Linked DNA regions of Caenorhabditis elegans. The protein of the gene in region 2 interacts with the protein of the main gene of each other region in a biochemical or structural test. Each region holds a gene or a part of one and is shown on either strand. Other genes may lie near its edges.

What was found.
Region 1: the proteins of osm-6 (region 2) and dyf-6 form a complex in vitro, tested with the Caenorhabditis elegans proteins (one study listed by BioGRID).
Region 3: the proteins of osm-6 (region 2) and osm-5 form a complex in vitro, tested with the Caenorhabditis elegans proteins (one study listed by BioGRID).

The regions. Positions count from the first base shown.
Region 1 is NC_003284.9:10,380,482-10,388,308, reverse strand, and holds the start of dyf-6 (Intraflagellar transport protein 46 homolog), read left to right. Parts: upstream 1-1,800; 5' UTR 1,801-1,850; coding exon 1,851-1,997; intron 1,998-2,418; coding exon 2,419-2,614; intron 2,615-2,660; coding exon 2,661-2,755; coding exon of another isoform or gene 2,756-2,794; exon of another isoform or gene 2,795-3,300; intron 3,301-4,723; coding exon 4,724-4,793; intron 4,794-6,792; coding exon 6,793-6,882; intron 6,883-6,927; coding exon 6,928-7,065; intron 7,066-7,545; coding exon 7,546-7,700; intron 7,701-7,755; coding exon 7,756-7,827. UniProt on the Caenorhabditis elegans protein: Component of the intraflagellar transport (IFT) complex B required for transport of proteins in the motile cilium. May be required for ciliary entrance and transport of specific ciliary cargo proteins such as che-3 which are related to motility.
Region 2 is NC_003283.11:11,924,099-11,929,188, reverse strand, and holds osm-6 (Intraflagellar transport protein 52 C-terminal domain-containing protein), read left to right. Parts: upstream 1-1,742; 5' UTR 1,743-1,782; coding exon 1,783-1,812; intron 1,813-1,860; coding exon 1,861-1,976; intron 1,977-2,358; coding exon 2,359-2,446; intron 2,447-2,524; coding exon 2,525-2,645; intron 2,646-2,694; coding exon 2,695-2,827; intron 2,828-2,915; coding exon 2,916-3,057; intron 3,058-3,104; coding exon 3,105-3,191; intron 3,192-3,303; coding exon 3,304-3,423; intron 3,424-3,468; coding exon 3,469-3,578; intron 3,579-4,002; coding exon 4,003-4,199; intron 4,200-4,244; coding exon 4,245-4,519; 3' UTR 4,520-4,568; downstream 4,569-5,090. Other genes in the region: F58H1.2 (uncharacterized protein), read right to left, coding at 33-84; aman-2 (Alpha-mannosidase), read left to right, coding at 273-1,023, 1,075-1,357; R31.2 (ANK_REP_REGION domain-containing protein), read right to left, coding at 4,857-5,090.
Region 3 is NC_003284.9:2,982,410-2,990,289, forward strand, and holds the start of osm-5 (Intraflagellar transport protein 88 homolog), read left to right. Parts: upstream 1-1,853; 5' UTR 1,854-1,868; coding exon 1,869-1,949; intron 1,950-2,542; coding exon 2,543-2,605; intron 2,606-2,953; coding exon 2,954-3,023; intron 3,024-3,074; coding exon 3,075-3,179; intron 3,180-3,229; coding exon 3,230-3,275; intron 3,276-3,325; coding exon 3,326-3,635; intron 3,636-4,044; coding exon 4,045-4,270; intron 4,271-4,316; coding exon 4,317-4,554; intron 4,555-4,976; coding exon 4,977-5,184; intron 5,185-5,505; coding exon 5,506-5,807; intron 5,808-5,853; coding exon 5,854-6,004; intron 6,005-6,909; coding exon 6,910-7,025; intron 7,026-7,104; coding exon 7,105-7,308; intron 7,309-7,357; coding exon 7,358-7,569; intron 7,570-7,717; exon of another isoform or gene 7,718-7,819; intron 7,820-7,880. Other genes in the region: nspg-5 (DUF19 domain-containing protein), read left to right, coding at 1,054-1,187, 1,240-1,378, 1,431-1,626.

The DNA.
Region 1 (7,827 bases), on a different chromosome or scaffold from region 2:
ACAGGAAATGAATGCGTGTGAAATTACAATGGTCTAGTATTGTTTAATAAAGATGTTTTCAAGTTATTATGATAGTATTCGTACATCAACATATATAACATCTAATTTAAACTAAATTACATGCGAATTATCGTTGTAAGCACGCATTTTTTCAAAGGTGGAGTATGGCCAGTGGAGAAATAAATGAAACTCATTCATATGAGCTCAACATAATGTTGGAGAACAAATATTAAAAACAAAAATACAAACGGTAGGACGTAAAACAAGGAGAAAATATTTAGTTTGATTGCCGATTCCCGAAAAAATTGAGTTTTCACCACTATTTGTATCGGAAAAATTTCCAAAGTTTAAAAAAATTTTATTATGATATTTGGTCATTTTAGCATTGCATTGTTGTTTCAATCATTCACCCATTTGCAGTAGTCCACCTTTAAATGAAATAATCTGAGTTATGCAAAAATGTGTCGATTTTAAGTTTTTAAGTTAAAAAAATACCAATTCCAACGCCGGAAGAGTCAAAATGTATTTCACGTTTACTTTAGTATGATATTTTGATTTCATTTTGTTTCAACCGCTTTTATTAAATTAACAAATTTCGTATTCTAAAAACCTATGTTTAATTTGATTAGTTTTTATTTTATTTTTTGATGTCGTCATTGAATAGACGAATACGTAGTCTCTGACTGGTTTTTGAAGCAGAACCGATTAGTTGAACATTTGATGTGAAATATGTTCTAGTCATTGAATATAACAGATATGTTTGGAAATATATCAATGGAAAACAATTACATCAGCAAACACACGTCACAAACATTGTTTTCACATACATTTCTTAGCGTGAGCAGTGTCTGAAACAGCATCGACAAAAAGCTGTTAGCAATTAAACATAAGGGAATCAGAAGCAAGCAAACAAATAAACCTCAACATTTGTCTTAAAGTTGTAAATATTTATGTCGCCATGAAATTTTTTATATTTGTATGGTTTCTGTATAAATTTAAATCGACATTGAAGTTGACATGAATAAAATTTATTTTTCGGAATTCAGCTGTCCGAGCAAATTGTGTCTAGACGTTTACTCTTTGGAACTTTTTTTTTCTGATGTTTGATTTGAAAATGTTTCACAAATGTTGAATTTCCTAAAATATTATATTTTCAGGTGTAATTGTTGATTTTTTTATTAAAACGTCAAAGTGAGATGGGCTAATTATTTTTGTCTATATTATGAACAGATGGACCGGCTCAAAATACCCGAAACCAGAACTAATTATAAACTTCCGTTTCTCTCTGCAAATGACGCAGACCAAATGTATTCCATGCGAATCAGGTGGATGTGGGGGCATTCTCAGCACCACTATACGTTAACTAGAATCAAGATATTCGCAGCATGAGAGTTTTACTTCATTTTTTACGAGTGTGCAGTTAGCTTTAATTTTAGCTATATAAGTGTATTTTCAACGATGCAAGTTTTTAAAGTTATAGTTTTGAATCAAAAATGTTTACATTCTTAATATTATTGCAAGTATCCCTTTTTTTATCAGTTTGAATTATACTTGCATCTATTTGTCATAGAAATATATATGAAAAATGCCAATTTCCGAAACTCATATGCTCCCTACAAAACGACGAAACTTCTTTTGTTTTGACCAATATCCCTCCTTTCCTGCATTATTTTTCATTCTCCTCCAATACGTTGTTTATGCTTCACCTGCCTGTCCAACATAAACGAACTTTTGAGAAAATGAGCTTTCCGGGTCTCCATGGTTACTTGCCACACAAACCGCTTTCCGGGTAAAGACACCATTACTTGTTGCAGGGTCCCAAACATATCGGCATTTGTTTCATGTTAACTATGTCATCAGAAACCACGGCACCAATGATCATAAATGAAAAGTCATCGTTGCCAGTAAAATCAGAACCGGGGCAGCTTGGGAATCCAATCAGCGATGAATCTTCAGAAGATGAGCAGAGCCAAATAAGGGCTCTAGAGGAAGATCAGGTGAGTAAAATGGTTACAATAATTTTTTAAAACCATTTTGAAACATCAAAACATGTAAAAAACGTTTCATCAAAACATAACACGCTTCCCGATCTCTGTAATTATCCACACGTGACGAATTATTTCGCAATAATCCGCTCAAAAAGACAAAAAACTCTTAAGTTTACTTTTAAATGTCGAGATTCAATATGCACTCAATTATGATCGATTAAAACTTGTTTTGTTCAATGTTTTGTTTTTTGTTTAAAAAAAAACAACAAAAATTGACATTTTCTTCTTTTGCGCGTCTTGGAGTTTCTATAGCAACCGAGAAAACTGAAGACAATCGACGTGGATTGCTTGAGAAACAAAACGGGTTTGCCAGCTAACTCAATTGGATTGCCAGAGAAATAAGATTTGAGCAGAAAATTTTCGTTCTCAGGGTATCTACTACAACGAAGAAGTGGTTGCTTCGCCGAAAAACGAAAGCGACGACGATATTCCCTTACGCCGCATTCAACTGAGTCATCAGACATCTACTCAACAACATCCAGAAGATTCGGAACCGCAAGAAGTGATTGACGTCAACGATATTGAACTACCAGCAGGAGAAGCTCAACCAAACATGGAACGAAGAAGTATTGTAATTTTTTTATTCGGAACTGTTAAAATGTTGTAATTTAGGATCAGTTCGATTTAGTGGGCGTCATGATGAAGAAGAAGACGGGCGTAACAAGCATTTTCGAACTCCATCACCCGAAAGTCTTCGTTATATTCAGGTGACTCTATTCATTGAAGCTTTCATAAATCAGAAATAAAAGCACAGTGGTCGGTGCAAGAGAGCGGGTCTTTAGCTTAAGCCGTCTTTGTCCTCGTCCCCATGGTGAATATCCACAACAGCTTGAATGAACATTTTCCATTGCATTCAATGACGACACTATTGAGTTTGAGTAGAATTTAATCAAATTGAAATCAAATTGAAAATAATTTGAAAATTGTCGTTTTGATTCTTTAGATTTGGCTTGTAACATTTTTTTAGCAATGGATAATTTGGAGACGGATTAGTAATACTGATTTTCATAAATGCACAGTATCGTCAATGGAGAAATTGTTTAAAACCACTCATTTGTTGCTATAATGACCAAATATCATAGTAAAGTTTTTCCTTTTTTTAAATGTTTTTTGTGCAGTCGGAAAATGTTGAAAACTTAATGTTCACTTATCATAAATTTCGAAGTTGACCAAAAACTCAATTGTTTGTACTTGAACATTTTAGATGAACCTGTAGAATTGTTTGAAATCTTTCATAAATTCTTCAATATAACAATTTTTGGCAATTTACCAAAATACCAAAGCTACGTACATGTTGAAAAATCTGAAAACTTTTTCCTTAAAAGTTTTTCCTTTCCAAGAGCAAATTAGTTATTTATACATTACTGAACAAAAACAATTATTGATAACTGATTTTCATGATAAAAATGAAAAGATTAAGCTTCCAAGCATCTATGTACACTCAAATATCCTTGGATCTAATAGTAAGAAATATCATACGAATTTTGAAAACTGGAGTGTCATGATATTTGATTTCCATATCAGTGTTTTCAAAGGTGAAGTAAACTTTTACGAACACTCGTAATGTCACTCCAAATATCTTTTCAATTTTATGATCAACTTTACAAAATTTTTCAAAACAAACTAATGCAACTCCAAGATGCAAAATTTCAAGGAGTAGTCAACATATGCATTGTATTGTACGCAGTATTAAAGCTGCGTATTTCTCTGAAACAGTGAAAAATCGTTAAATACGTTATATTTGGTACCTTTTGACAAACTGAGTTTCCAATAACGAAAACCCTAAAAATTGCATATTCTGGGCATTGCTACAAAATGTTTCGTTTGTTGATTGTCTACCTTTGCTATGTCAATAGCGTCAGAAAATGAGAATGTCTCTTATTGATTCAAACATTTTCAATTATTTTTCTTTTGTGTGACGTTTTAACTTATCTAGAGTTCAAGCTTTCAGCTGCCGATTTATATCAAAACTTCCTTCAATTTCAGAAACTACGGCTTTGAATAAAATGCACTTTTATTTTTTTTCCAAGAAACTTACATGCGTCTCAAATAAAAAAAAAGTTTTTCTGATTTTTTTTTATTTCAGACGACAAACGTTTACTTGCAAGGTTTTCATTGTACCAACTTGGTGATATAACTTTGCTTTGCTTGTTGATCCGTCACCATTACACATAAATCTTAACATCCTCCGCTAAGTTCTAGACAGAACATTGTATCACAAACTGAAATTACTCTTTGAGGCATGAAATCTTAACAGCAAAAATTTTGAAACTTCATTCTCAATGTTTTCCAATACTCCCTTTGCATTTCGTATAATAATCGGCTTGTGAACAGCTTCATATTTTGTTTTCGCATTCACGTATTCACTACCATCTAATTTCCGCTCATAGTATGATAAATGTGAACAGATGAGCTTGAAAAAGCGTTGATATTCGTGGCTAGGTAGATGAAATATTAGTGAGCGCGTCTGTGTGTCTGTGTGTGTTCGGGCGTGTTTCTAAGCGCAAAACAAAGTTTTGAGAATATAGAGCTTGAAAGTGAGAGGAAAAACCTCAGGAAAACCTTGCTGATAGGAGCTACTATTTCCTCATTTATTCTAAATGTTCCTATACTAATTTTTTGTATTACTGGAAAACTGGGTAAATTTGTTTTTGCTTCCACTAATAACCTTTCAGGCATTGGAAAATCCAATGGCGGCAAACGGAGAGTTCGAAGAAGAGTTCAATGATTTGGCTGATCCACAAGGTATGATTTTAAAATGTGTGAAAACGGGCACAAAATACCAAACTACTTAATTAGGCTTCTCAGATTCCAAACAGATTTTATGAAAAGTTGAGGTTTTGAAAAAAACATAGAAATGTTGTATGTTTCTAACTTTGTCTAATTGTGTGCATCCCAACGGCTTGAAGTTAATTTGTAATTGAGTTTTTTCTCGGTTTTTTTTTTCATGTTACTTCGTTTATGTTCGCATTTTTCTGACGGTTTAATTATATATTTATAGCTAATAGGTTACTGAAACTCAGTAATTCTACCGGATCAAAATGTACCTCAATAAAAAAAATTAACATTGCTCCCGTAGTTTATAAAGTCAAAGACTTTGTGCACACCAAGGGTGGGCGGCTAATAGCCGAATTAGCCGAATTAGTTGACAGGCTAATTCGGTTAATTCGGCTAATATTAGCCGAATTAGCCGTTAGCCGAGTTTCAATTTAGCAGACATTAGCCGAATTAGCCGCATTATCCGTTTGGCTAATTCGGCTAACACAATGGAGCACGATTGCAATGTTTGCAAACAAATTTTTGTGGTTTAATTGCTTTCAGTGTGTTTTTTGTTTCTGTTACCAAATTAATTGTTGTTACTTACTTGATAACCCAAATTAGTGCAAAACTTGCTGAATCAACAAAAAAAATCTAAAACTGATAAAGTTAGCCGAATTAGCCGAATTTCAGCCGACCGGCAAACTCGGCTAATTTTAGCCGAGTTAGCCGTTAGCCGACTTTTTTCCCAATTGGCCGAATTAGCCGTTAGCCAAAAATTATGAAAACCGGCTTAAGCCGAATTAGCCGTTAGCCGAAAAACGATTAGCCGCTCACCCCTGGTGCACACGCTTCTAGAAAATAAATCTTCTCATGCGAAATGATTTCTTTTTTTTTTCTTAAATCTTAAAGTTGTTAAAGTTTTACCACTCAATTTTTAAGTTGTTTCCAGTGAAGAGAAAACAAAAAAAAACTAAGCCAACTCAGTTTTTAAAAAATTGGACGGTAATTTTCAGTAAGATCGCATTCAAATAATAGCAATGATTCAGCGAAAAAATTGGATAAAATATAGAATGTTCACTCTTCGTGGGAGCAAACGTTTGAGTTGATTCGGTTTTTTTTCAATCCTGTACATTGAATGCAGTCCAACGTTACAAAAATGTGATCCTTTTTTGTTTTTGTCTGTTAACATTTTGACAACAAAGAGCGTGAAACAAATGATAATCACTTATGCTTATGAGATACTCATGCGTATAGAGTGCCTCCATTGTTTCTTTTGCTGATTAAATTATCAGTTCGATCAATGAGCTTTGAATTGATTAGGCTTTTTTAAAGTTTTTCTATAATCTTAAATTTATAACCTAAAAGGTTATGAGTCTCAGACATTTTATTTATATGTTTCCTAGCCAAGTCTAAACATGTAGCAACTTTGCAAAAAATGTTTTCTCAATTTTTAGATGTTGTTTTTGGATATTAAATTCGGAACCAACAAAATTTTGTTTCAAGATAAAAAGAAAACGAATCACATCCTAATGTGAATCTTGGATTAAGTAATAATAACTGTTTTTGAATTTCATAGGCCTCCAATGTTTTTCTTAATCATTTTTTTGTAAACGAATCAACAAAAGTTAAGATTCTGCGCATGTTTCTTTAATATTCAAATATTCTAATTGCTGGTTTTTTCCTAAAACTAAACTTGTATGTAATTCATTTGAAAAATCATACAGGCATTGGAATTGAATAGTAACAAAAATTGGAAAACGACTGTGAATATATTAGAAAATTGTTAAATTAGTGTTTTTGAAAAAACTTTCGGCGGGTTTAAAGTATCACATAATTGCATTATAAATTCTTACAAAATCGCGTATCTTTATAACATACTCAATGACCTAATATGCTCTATGAAAACCTGAATTTAAAAAAAGCTATAAAAAGAAAGTTCATTGTATTTTACTTATAATCAATTTTTCACTGTTTATGCTTTTAGTGCAGCCACCACCAATGGGATCTCCACCCGCCTACACTAGCGCCGATGAAGGTCCCAAGACGCCGCCACCTAGGGCTTCAGCTGGATCGAGTCAGTCTCGTGCAACACTTCTTGACATTCAAAATAAAATTGCAGATATGAGGCAAGAATCTATGAACGAATTGATAATGAGAAAAATATCTGACCCCCTTCAAAATTTGATTCGCAGAGCAAGCCGCCTGGAGGACGACAGCAGCAACGACGATGATGATGATGACGACGATGAGGATGACGGTAAGGCTACACACGGAAAACATTCCACAACATATATATTTCGCATAAAGTCTACAGAGACCTCTGATAATTAATTAATATCCACAAAAACATAGACATAGGTCATACTCTGGAACAAATTATTTTCATTTTACTTGTTTTTCAAGAAATTTATCCGAAAAATAACTTTTTTTATCGTATTCTTTAGTTTAAACTAACATACATTTTATTTTCTGATAGTGAGTAGTTTTCAAAACATTTCAAGAAGATACTTTTGAGTGTACACGACTTTCTCAATTTAACAAGTGAAGCATAATAAGATAACATTTAAAAAAGAACATATTTTGTATATATTTCGCGACGCATTGTATCATGTTTGTGGAAACTTTTTAATCTCAAAAAAAGCAATCAAACAACATTTGAATCCGTTTCTTCGGGAAAATACTTATAGATTTATCATTTTTGACCAATAATTGTATTCTATCTGAAGTCTGCTTTCAGACTACACCGAAGACGAAATTGCGATTCTGACTTATATCGACGCGTATAAAACACAAGAAGTAGAGTTGCGCCCGCAATTACGCCCATTCACTATCGAATACATCCCAGCAATGGGCGATGTCGACCTATTCATCAAAGTGCCAAGGCCAGACGAGGTATGTCCGGAATTCATAGCTCACGCAAACATGTTTATATAACCAAGAATTTTAGATTGACGATAATGTGGGGCTCACGCAGATTGACGAGCCACCCAGCAACCAGAGCGACGCCACAATTGTCGAT
Region 2 (5,090 bases):
AGTTTATGAAACAAAATATTTCAGTAACTCACCTGAAACTGCGGATACAGCTAGAATAACTGCAGCTGCATAGAACATCACCATTCCTGCGTAGAAGCGCGAAATGATACAAATCAGCCGTTGACATGATAAACAAGTGATTGAAATAAGGCGATTTGGGTCAAGAGATGCATCCGTTCTTCACTCCTCTTCACTCTCTCACTTCTCATCCCTTCAAAATCTAGGCTTTTCCTCCAAATCTTTTGTTCGCTTTAAAAATGTTTTTCTTTCAGTCGCAAATGGAAATGAAGACAACCCGGCTGGCGCATACCTGTTCCTTCCCGATGGAGAAGCTAGAGAACTCAAAAAACAATCAAGTGATTGGATATTGGTAAAAGGAGAAGTTGTTCAAAAAGTGTTTGCAACTCCAAACAATGATCTGAAAATATTGCAAACGTACACACTTTATCAAGGGCTTCCATGGATTGATTTGGATAATGAAGTTGATGTACGTTCCAAGGAGAATTTCGAGTTGGCACTGAGATTCAGTTCTTCAGTAAATAGTGGTGATGAGTTTTTCACTGATCTCAATGGAATGCAAATGATAAAAAGGAGACGACAAACTAAATTACCAACACAGGCCAATTTCTATCCCATGTCTGCTGGTGTTTACATTGAAGACGATACTACCAGAATGTCAATTCATTCGGCACAGGCTCTCGGAGTTAGCAGTCTCTCGTCGGGACAAATTGAAATAATGCTTGATCGACGACTTAGTTCAGATGACAACAGAGGTCTTCAGCAAGGAGTTAGAGACAACAAACGAACAGTTGCACATTTCCGTATTGTTATTGAGCCGATGTCTTCATCGAGTGGTAATAAGAAGGAAGAACGAGTTGGATTCCATTCACATGTTGGTCATCTCGCTACGTGGTCTCTTCATTATCCTCTTGTCAAAATGATTGGAGATGCAACACCAAAATCTATTTCTTCGAAAAATGTGGAACAAGAGCTGAACTGTGACCTGCATCTAGTGACATTTAGGTGTTAAAAAATCTGAAATCTACAGTAACCCTCATCTTTAATCATTTTCAGAACACTGGCATCGCCGACAACTTACGAAGCCAACGAAAGATCTACGGCAGCTGAGAAGAAAGCAGCGATGGTGATGCATAGAGTTGTTCCAGACTGTAGATCCAGGCTTACCCTCCCAGACACGTCATGCTTAGCTACTGGATTAGAAATTGAGCCACTCAAATTGATCTCGACACTGAAGTCTGCGAAAAAAACGTCACTAACCAATCTTTATGAAGGAAACAAGGCTGAACAATTCCGACTCCAACCAAACGATATTTCCAGTATTCTTGTATCATTTTAATTTTATAATTGCTTATATGTAGTAGTTATATTTTCAGTTTTCATTACATTTCATGGGTATTTATTTATTAACTATAATCTTGTATAAGACGATGTAATTATGAAACAACGATTTCACACTTCCGGTTTTCATGTAAAATTTTTTTCGTTCCAAATAAATTGTTATAAAATTAATTACATCTTTCATCAAACTTCAAAAATGAAATTGCATTTTTAATAATTAGGAGTCTATTACGGAATTCATTAAATTTCAGAAAACAAAGTTAACTATATATTTCTCTAGTAGTTCCTTTCCCAGGAGACCCTTCCAAGATTTGTATCCACATGTTACCATAGTAACCACTCATTGCTTCTCGCTCACATTGTCTGCTCCCTCTCTTGGGGCTTATATCTCTTTCAAGCTATTACCTTCATTAGTATACATCTATGCCTCCATTTTCAGACGAAAAGATGACTGTAAGTATTAGATTTTAGTTTTCGCATTTTATTATTTCCATTTTCCAGAACCGGAGTATTGGGAGAAAAGTTCTGATTGATCAATCAAAACAGCAACAAATTAGTTTGATTAGTGGTTTTCGTGGTGTGGCAAGACATTTAAAAAGTGTTCTTACTGTTGAAATGTGAGCTTTTTTGGAATATTTAACATTTTATACATTAAATACATAGTTGAAAGATTTACGATTTATGATGAAAGAATACGATACCCGGTCTCGAAACGAATTAAAATCGGATCCTGCGAAGAAGCAGGTTTCTTGTATTTTTGTTTCTCATTTTCTTATTTTGAATTCTTTGGAATAAATATTCAAATTATACTGAACAAATTAAGCTGCTATTTAAAAAATAAAAAATAAAACGAAAAAAACAAAATATTGGAAACTACAGTACTCCTCGAAGTCGAGCAATCCTTTGCGCGGAATTGTTTTGCTCGCGTCGAGACCTGCTACCGTAATTTTTGCCAAATTTGAATTTCTCTCGCAGATAGATAATAATTTTTAAATTCAGAAACACAGAACCAATTAACTTAAATGGATTAGAAGATGTTCGGATGCTTATCATTCCACAACCAAAGACATCATTTGGAACTGGAGAGGTTTAGGATTTTAAATTTTATTAAATTTCATTTGATTGTCTCAGCCTAATTTTAACACCCAAAAAATTAAAATTTAAGATTGAAGCAATATGGAAGTTTGTGGAAGAAGGTGGTTCATTGATGATCCTTTCTGGTGAAGGTGGTGAGAGACAATCATTAAATGAAATGATTGCAAAATATGGAATTACTGTGAATAAGGGTATGTCTTTATCAAATTAAATGAATTACAAAAATCATCAACATTCAAGATTCGGTAATTCGTACTGTATTCCTGAAATATTTTGATCCGAAAGAAGCTTTAGTAGCAAATGGAGTCATAAATCGAGCAATTGCAGTGGCTGCAAAAAAGAATGTGAGCACTGAGCAAAAACATAATTCACAGTGAGTTGAACTATTAGCTTTTTATTTATTTAGGACAAAATTCGGTTTCCGATTTTCCAAAAATAAAAAAGTGATTTCAATATTTCAGAGCACTTTCATTCATTTATCCATATGGATGTACTCTAGATGTGAATAATCGTATGTCGAATGTAGTATTGTCTTCTGGAAGTACAAGTTTTCCAACAAGTCGCCCAGTTGCCGCTTTTCATGAGACAAAACTCAATGAAATGGTATTAGAATATTCTGAAATTGGTACATTAATTCATATTATTTTCAGAAAAAGAAAGGTAGAGTGTGTGTGGTTGGATCAGTCTCGATGTTTCATGACACATACATCGATAAGGAAGAAAATGGAAAGATTTTTGTAAGTGTATTTTTGATATGGTTCGAAATAAACTTCCCCGGTTGGTTGAGGCGTGCAGGATGCGCCTCCCACCCGCCTCTTAACTCGCCTTATTGGAAAATTTCAATTTCAGGATACATTTGTGGAATTCCTGGTCAATGGTCTTGAACTGAACACGATAGATGCTGCAGAGCCGGAAATTAATGATTACACAAATATTCCAGATCATATTCATATGTCCCAGCAGATCAAGGTTTGACTTCAAAAAATTATACTTTCTAGACAAACTAACAAACAGGTTTGTATGTACGAAGGAGAATTGGATCAGGCAATCAGTTCGGATTTCATGAAGATTATGGATACTTCGTTGCATTCTTTTAATTTGAAACATTGGCCAATGACTATAAGGTACTGTGCCCTAAATACTTTCCCCTGACTACAGAAATATGTTTGTTATTACTAAGAAAAAGATTCAAGAATCATGCTTTCGAAAATGGAAACACGGTTTTACCCAATCACCAACTTTGCGATGTTTTCCTGAAAATACGGTAGCTGGTCTCGACACGATCAAATTATTTACGAATAAAGTACGGAAAAGAGCGTGCGACTTTAACAACTACCGTAGTACCTCACTCTGTTTTCTAATAGTCAAAAGAGAATAATGAGTAGTGTCACACTACAGTACTGTTTAAATTTTTAGCATTTAAAGGCGCAAGTTTCCGCGTCCTTCTTTTGAAATTATTTCGATATTTGGAAAGAATATTAGAATGAAGTTTACAATAAGTTTTAGTGTAAAACATCATTTCTACTTGAATAAACATTTTTATTCTAGATTGTATGAAGCATTGAATCTTTCACCTCCACCACTTACCCTTGTTGAACCTCAATTTGAACTTCCAATGCCTCCATTTCAACCTGCAGTATTTCCACCAACATTTCAAGAATTACCAATGCCTCCTCTTGAATTATTTGATCTTGATGAACAGTTCAGCTCTCCGGAAATTCAACTTTCTCAGCTCGCAAATAGAAGTAAGAGTTTTTATTCAGAAAAAATAATAAATGGAATAGTTTCAGGCGAGGAAGAAGATCTCATATTCTTTATTGAAAAAGCTGGTGAAATTACTGGAATATCTGCTGAATTGACAAGAAGTGAACGAACCCCCAAGAAAATAATTGAGTTGGCAGTGAGCAAACTCATGTTATTCAAACGTTCAATGATGGATGGAGAGTTGGAAGTTGCATCAGCGTTCGATATTGGAGAGCATGATGCTCATCATCAAAGTTTTAATCAAGGCGAAGAGATGGACGAGCAGCTGTTCTCTGATATTGATGAGTTCGATGATTTGTGATTGATTTGTCTGGAGATAAGATAATAAAATATTCATGTTGAAAAAAAAACGTTTTGGATTTTAGTGGGCACAATTGAAACGATGAAAAATGACCCGATACGGAGAAGAAAATGGTTAAATGATTGGGATATCTAACAAGAAAACGGTAAGAAATTGGATGATTAAAGAATACACTGAATACCGGGTAACTTCAGGCGGTGGATGGGCGGGGCGTGATGAGGAGGAAGAATGTATGAACTGGGATGGTGATTAGATTTCAGTTTTTCATGACTATTCTTTTAGAGTTTAGAAAGCCTATGTATCAACTATAGGGTAAAACTAATTGAAATCTTAAAGTTTACTTAAATTTCTTAACGTAGACGTAATAACCAAGACCGGCAACTCCAGCAACTGCAGCTGCAGCAGCCACATTTCTGACGACGTCTGGATTATTGTGAATCCACGTGGCCAAATCGCTGGGTTCGCGTCCTTCTGGAACTTGCTTCGACTCTTCGACAACTGTGGCTTTTGTTGATGGAGCTTGGTGTGCAGAAGCTGGTGGAACAAACGATGGTTCATGTTCTGATTCTAA
Region 3 (7,880 bases), on a different chromosome or scaffold from region 2:
ACAAAAAATGCGCCGCTTTTTCGTGAAAAACACTTCTCAAAAAAATTTCAATAAAATATTATACCAGTTCAAAAATTTGAAAAAACAAATGTGGCCCAATTTTGGCCACTTTTCCGTGTCTCAGCGGTCCGAAGTTAACTTTTTTATGAATAATTATCTTTTATTGCATATTTTGCTTTTTTATCTCTATTATTTCGTTGATTAGAGGTGGAGTAAATTTTAAAAATGTTCTTGTTTCAAACAATAGAAAATGAATCATAATGACAAAGAAAAACTGTAACAAAAAGATAAAAAATTTCTAATCTATTTTTGGATTTTTAAATTTGCAAAAATCAAAGAAACGTCGGAATTAAATTTAAACTCTCGCGCAAATGAGTGACGTCATTTTTAGACCTTTTTACGTTTCCTGCCTTCAGCGATTTTTCATGGTTTTTTTCCAATATTTGATTTAAACATCGTTGTCAATTTTTTAAAGATATTTACCCTCAAAAGTTAGAATTAAAATTATATTATATATTGTCGATTTTTAGGCCAATTTTAAAATTTCCGCAAATTTCTATCCAAAGTTCTCTTCACGGAAAAATGCTTGAAAATTGACGAACAGTGATACAATATTTCAAAAATTTCAAAAAGATACAATATTTCAAAAATTAAGAAAAATCGATGAATTTAGCCAAAAAAACGCGAAATTATCAAAAATGATGTCACTCATTTGCGCGGGAGTTAAAATTTAATTCGGTCGTTTCTTTAATTTTTGCAAAATTGAAAAAATCATAAGAAATTCAAAAAAAAAATTTTACAGTAGTATTCAGGTAGTACGGTCCATTCTTAGGACCACTGCGACACAAAAATTGGCCTAAATTAAAGCTAAAATTATTCCTTTTTTTAATTCGAAACTGCCATAAAAAAATTTGAAAACGAGTTTGTTGAGAAGTTTCATTACGAAATTTGTTTATTTGAGCACATTTTGAGTTTATATGCTTCAAATACTCAGAACCGTTACTCCTATAAATATAATTCTCGCAACATTTTAAAACTTATATCTGGTCTCAGGGCTTATCAAAGATTCAACAACTGCCTCGGAGGGAGCTACATCAAACAAGCCTGCTATCCGCACGAACCGCTAAAGTCTCGCTATTCCGTTGTCGATTCAGTCTTGGATTATGTTTGTGGAGAAGGATATCAATGTATGACTTAGGAAAATTATCCTGTAAAGCGTAGAATTTGGAAAATTTTCAGCAATGCTCAACAACTGGAATTGCTACTTGTCTGTTGCGGAAAGCAGGGAGATTGCAATGTGTGAAGCAAGTTTCACACAATTGGCAAGAAACACTGAACAAATGTACAATGATTATTCGTCAGGAGCCGGAGCATGCTTGTGAGCTTTCATATTATAGATTTAATTGACAACTGACAAAAATGGCTTTCAGTGCACTTCAATCATATACCGACTGCATTCGTCCTGCAATTGAAACAACCTGTGGACTTGGCTCTTTTCTGACAGTTATCCAAGCAGTTGAACGGCCAATTCAAATTTACCTTCCATTCTGTACACTTTCTTCGTCCGCGATCTCATTTGTTCAATCAATCATAATTTCTCTTGCTGTTTTCTTGTTTTGCCTATAATTTATTGTTTTGAAATTGAAAGACTCGAACCCCATAACTTAATATTGTCATTGAAAACCCCTCAGACCTATACATGTATAAACTATTGCATCTCATTCGGTGTTACACTCTCTCTCTTGCTTACATAGTTACTATGGCAACGCTCCGCTAGCTTGACGAAAATTGTTTTCTCTTGGGTGCCATGGCAACCAGAACACCAAGCAGCGCACTCTTCTCTATTTCTTCTGAGAACACTTTTCTTAATGGCGAACAGCACTTTTCGTGAAGATGATGACGATTTTTACGGCGGTTTTGATTCGTATGATAAAGCATATGATATTCAGGTTTGATAATAATTTAAAAATGAATAAGAGTCTATGATTTTTTGCTATAAATGATAGTATTACTGTACAACAATTTAAACATTTTTTTCTAAATTTTTAAATATTTTTTTCAATTTTGCAAAAACCAAAGAAACGCCCAATATGATTATAAATTTCCGCTCAAATGAGTGACGTCACCTTGGTTTTTCTTCATTGTTCTTTTATATCTCATTTGAAACTTTATTTACCAATTTTAAGAGCATTTTTCCGACAAAAAAATTGTATGTCAATTTTTAGGTCAATTTTGAAATTTCCGCCAACCGGGTTTCAAATAAAATATAGCAGAAAGTATCTGAAAAACATAAATATTTACCCGAAAACGCAAAAATATCAAAAATGACGTCAACTTTTCCGCGCGAATATTAAAATTCAAATGAGACGTTTCTTTGATTTTTGAAAAATTGAAAAAAAAAGAATCAAAAATTAAGGAACATTTGACCCATTTTTTATAGTTACATTTGGCTATTAGGGCCTATTTTTTATCATTTCAAGCAAAATTTCTAAATGATTCTACTCCTCCTGTAAATACGCAATAATAAATGTGTTTAATTCAGAACATAACTCAAAATCCACAATTTCAACAAGCCGTTGCTAGGTCGAGCCATGGAAGGCGTCCGGTGAGTGACAATTGGAAAATAAACTGTTTTGTATAGTAATTAGAAATTTTTTACCTTAAAGAGAAAAATTTTTAAAACTTCAATCAAAGGAGAAATTGAGTTTGTGTGTTATTTTGCTTAAAAAATACTAAAACTGACTAAATTTTATGATTAAACTTTTTTTTCTAAAAAATTTTTCCGATTGGTAAATTTTACCTTGCTGCTCCGGTCCGAAACAGTTTTAAAAAAATCATCAGCAAAAAAAAAAAAAAAAAAAATTTCGGGCAAAGTTGACCTTTTTTTGACTTTTAAAATCTTTGAAATTTTTTTGAAAATTTTTATTACAATTTATTACAATCTTTTTCTAAGACTGCATCTCAAATGGGATTCCGAGATGCTTCCTCCTCTTATGGAAAACCGCCGGGAACGATGATGGGAAGTGAGTAACCAACTACATTTTTTTTTTGCAATCAGGATCCGTTCTTTTCAGATCAAAGTCGAATGGGCGGTCGAACAGCCATGGCTAACAACAATGAACCTGCGAGACCGATGACCGCTGTCCGCGGAGCCGGATATACATCCTTTGCAAATAAAGGTGACATCCGCACCGTCCTAAACTATTTGTTCACAGTCACTTTTTTTCAGTTCAAGCCGCAGAAAGACCACTAAGTACCGAGAACTCGGGTGAAAAGTAAGAATATATAGTTGCGAAATTTAGTTGAAAAATCATGTAACTTGTAGTGGTGAAGAAAAATGTCGGCAGATGGAAAACAAAGTAATGGAAATGCTCCGAGAAAGTATGCTGGCTAGTGAGAAGAAAAAGTTCAAAGAAGCGCTGGATAAAGCGAAGGAAGCTGGGCGACGTGAAAGAGCAGTTGTGAAGCACAGGGAGCAACAGGGATTGGTAGAGATGATGAATTTGGATCTAACTTTCACCGTGTTGTTCAACTTGGCTCAGCAATATGAAGCGAATGATATGACTAATGAAGCGCTAAACACTTATGAAATCATTGTAAGGAACAAAATGTTCCCAAATTCTGGGAGACTAAAGGTAAATATAAAAGTTTTTCTTAAGGATATGTATGTCCTAACAAAATTTTGGGCTGCAAAGTTCCACCCATCCAAATTGTGATATGAAATTGTTTCAGTGCATTTTTAATACTTTCAAGTTCTTTAGAATTGCTCCAAATGCTTTTTCTGCATACTTTTAATAATTTTCAAATTGGTTAGATGTTGGTAAAGATTCTGAAATGTTTTGGAAATTTCCAGTTTTTTTAAAGAGTCAAAATTTCTTAAAATCTCCTAGTATATAAAAACAGCGTTTGGAGCAATTCTACAAAGCTTGAAAATATTAGAAATTGTGCTGAAGCAATTTCAGATCAACATTTGAAGGGTTGAGCATTAACAGTAAAGTAAAATTTTTTCATTATTTTGACTAAGCTTAATATATATTTTTTCAGGTTAATATTGGAAATATTCATTTCCGCAAACGTGAATTCACAAAAGCTTTGAAATACTACAGGATGGCTTTAGATCAAGTTCCGAGTATTCAAAAAGATACAAGAATTAAAATTCTCAACAATATTGGTGTAACTTTTGTCAGAATGGGAAGTTATGACGATGCCATAAGCACTTTTGATCATTGTGTGGAAGAAAATCCGAATTTTATTACAGCCCTCAACTTGAGTAGGTTATCACTAGAAATTTGATTTTTTTTAATGTTATTTTACAGTATTGGTAGCATTTTGCATACAAGACGCAGAAAAAATGAGAGAAGCATTTGTGAAAATGATTGATATTCCTGGGTTTCCGGATGATGACTACATGAAAGAGAAAGATGATGATGATGTTTTGTTGAATCAGACCTTGAACTCGGATATGCTGAAAAACTGGGAGAAACGGAACAAGTCGGATGCTGAAAAAGCAATCATTACTGCAGTGAAGATTATTAGCCCGGTTATTGCTCCTGAGTGAGTTTTGAATGTCAGGAAAATACAGAGTAAGATGACAAAAAACAATTGAAAATTTTTTTGTCGGTTGTTAAAAATTTTCAACTGAATTTGTGTCGAAAATTCTAGTTTTTTTTTAAACAAAAAAAACCAAGTGAAAATATTTTTACACTTACAAAAAATTCAGGATAGAAATCATACTTTTTTTTGATAATTTCGAGATCGAATATTCAAACCCAAATTTTTTGTATGTGCAAAAATAGTTTGCACTTGGTTAGGCACAATATTTTTGGCAACCGACAGAAAATGGTTTGAACGAATTTCTTTCAAAATCTTTTTGTATTATTAGTTGGTATTATGTTGTCCTTCCGGTTGCGTAATTCCGTTATATAAAAGTTTTTGATATACATAAGTAAAAAGATAAATAAATAGAAATCTTCCAGCTACGCTATCGGCTATGAATGGTGCCTTGAATCTCTCAAGCAGTCTGTACACGCACCATTGGCAATTGAACTTGAAATGACAAAAGCTGGTGAGCTGATGAAAAACGGAGATATTGAGGGAGCAATCGAAGTGCTGAAAGTTTTTAATTCGCAAGATTCCAAAACAGCCAGTGCGGCTGCAAACAATCTTTGTATGCTGAGATTTTTGGTAAGTTGAAAGTGGAGTATAGAAATTGTTAAAACCAGTTATATGGTGCCAAAATGACCAAATATCAATGTGAAATTTTTTTAATTCATGAAAATTCTTATTAACAGTCTTATTAACAGAAAAAGTTGCAAAAAGATTTGAGATTTCTCCAATTTTTCAATTTTCAAAAAATCATATAAAATTTAGATTTTTTTTTTGGAATTTTCGCATTTTGATAATTGGTCATAGTGGTGTCATAGTCATGTCATAATCATGTTTTAATGCAATTTCAATTTCCCACCGGCACTTCTCTACCTCATTTTTGCATATTTCAACTTGCAGCAAGGAGGACGCCGTCTAGTAGATGCACAGCAATATGCTGACCAGGCACTTTCAATTGACCGCTATAATGCGCATGCTCAAGTCAACCAAGGCAACATTGCGTACATGAACGGCGATTTGGACAAAGCTTTGAATAATTATCGAGAGGCGTTGAACAATGACGCTAGTTGTGTTCAAGCATTGTTCAATATTGGACTAACTGCAAAAGCGCAAGGCAACCTGGAGCAGGCACTTGAATTTTTCTACAAACTTCATGGAATCCTTCTGAATAATGTACAAGTGCTAGTGCAATTGGCTTCTATGTAAAACAGAAACGTTATGAGTGTTGAAACAAAATTGTTACTTTAGATACGAGTCATTGGAAGATTCTGCACAAGCAATCGAGCTGTATAGTCAGGCAAACAGTTTGGTTCCAAATGACCCTGCAATCCTTTCCAAGCTGGCGGATTTGTATGATCAAGAAGGTGACAAGTCTCAAGCATTCCAATGTCATTATGACGTCAGTTTGTATAATTGAATATTATGGGACCGAATAAATTCCGGGTCAAAAAAATCATAACTTTTTTCGCTGCTTATTGATTTTTCTAAAACTGTAAGAATTTATGGTATTAAAGATGATTTTTCATTTGACGGTTATTTCAAATAGGTTTTACCACCCAAGTGTCCCTACCCGGAGCCACTTCTGTTCAGTTCATAACTGAGGTTTATAATAGGATTTTTCAAAGTTGTAAGTCTCAAGTCTTATGGGGAAGTAATGTTACAAAATCTATTTTAATACATTTATGGCGTCACAACTGTATTAAAATACATTTTTTTTATGTATTTTAATACAGTTCTGACGTCATTTTTTTCACTTTTTTAAATTTCCGACACTTTTTGTATAAGTTTTTGAAAAAAAAATGCTTTCAACAAAAAAAAATTTTTTTGTTGAAAATTCATGATTTTTTTTACAAAATTGTTGCAACCTAGTGTAAACTATTTTATTTTTGATTTAAAAATTTTTCTCGAAAAATTCTCAAAAAACTCAAAAAGAGCTCGAAAAAATCATATTTTCAATATCCATTTGAGTAAGACATATTGAACTCGGATGTTTTGTATGTGTAAAATTAGTTTAAATTTGGTTGCATCATTTTTTGAATAAAAAATCAATAAATTTATATTTTAAAAAATTCCTGAAAATTTTTTTAACGACTTTTTTGAAACTTTTATACTTTCAGTGTGTTCTTACAATTTATTTCGAATTAATCAAAATCCGCCTTAATTCCTTAGTCAAAAACTAAAAAGGAGCAAAAAGTGGCTCCGAATAGTTTTAGAAAAATTGATCAGCAGCAAAAAAAGTTATGTACTATAACCAGGAACTTATTTAAACCCATAATATAAAATATCCGACTTATGGTTTTTCAGAGCTATCGATATTTTCCATCAAACCTGGAAACCGTTGAATGGCTGGCTTCTTATTATTTAGAAACTCAGTTTTCTGAGAAATCCATCAACTACTTGGAGAAGGCTGCCCTGATGCAGTAAGTACTTAATTTCTAATGTTTCGTAACATTAGTCTTGCGTCATGATGAATAAAATTATGAATAATGTGCGCTTCAGGCCAAACGTTTCAAAATGGCAAATGATGATAGCCAGTTGCCTACGACGGACAGGCAATTACCAAAGAGCTTTCGAGCTTTATCGTCAGATTCATCGCAAGTTCCCTCAAGACCTCGACTGCCTCAAATTCTTGGTTCGAATTGCCGGTGATCTTGGAATGACGGAATACAAGGAGTACAAGGATAAACTGGAAAAGGCTGAAAAGTAATATAAACATGCAAATAGAGAAAATTTCAAAACAAGCGAGTTATAGAATCAATCAACTCCGTCTACAACGGGAAAGTGATTCAAGCCAAGGAAAACGTCACTCTGCAAATTCAACGCATTCCCTTCCCCCATCCGGCCTGACCGGTTTGGGATCGGGGTCAGGTGGTTCGAGTGGTGGTGGCACCCGTCAATACAGTGCACATGTTCCTCTTTTGCTGGATAGTGGCACCCCGTTCACGGTGGCCCAACGAGATATGAGTAAGGGCAATGGAGTTAGAGAGTATAGATTAGAGAGAGTATAGATTAGAGAGAGTATAGATTAGAGAGAGTATAGATTAGAGAGAGTATAGATTAGAGAGAGTATAGATTAGAGAGAGAGAGAGAGAGAGAGAGAGAGAGAGAATCAAGGGGTGCGCGGCAATTGCCGACCGTCAATTCAACAAAATGAACCAGTGCGGAATGTTTTCTCAAACTAGGGCTGTGCAAATCGGCGTCGTCCGATTTTGACACCACCGAACGCACATGCATCCGGTTTGGGGTAGGTTTCCACGGCGGCCGACAATTTCCGA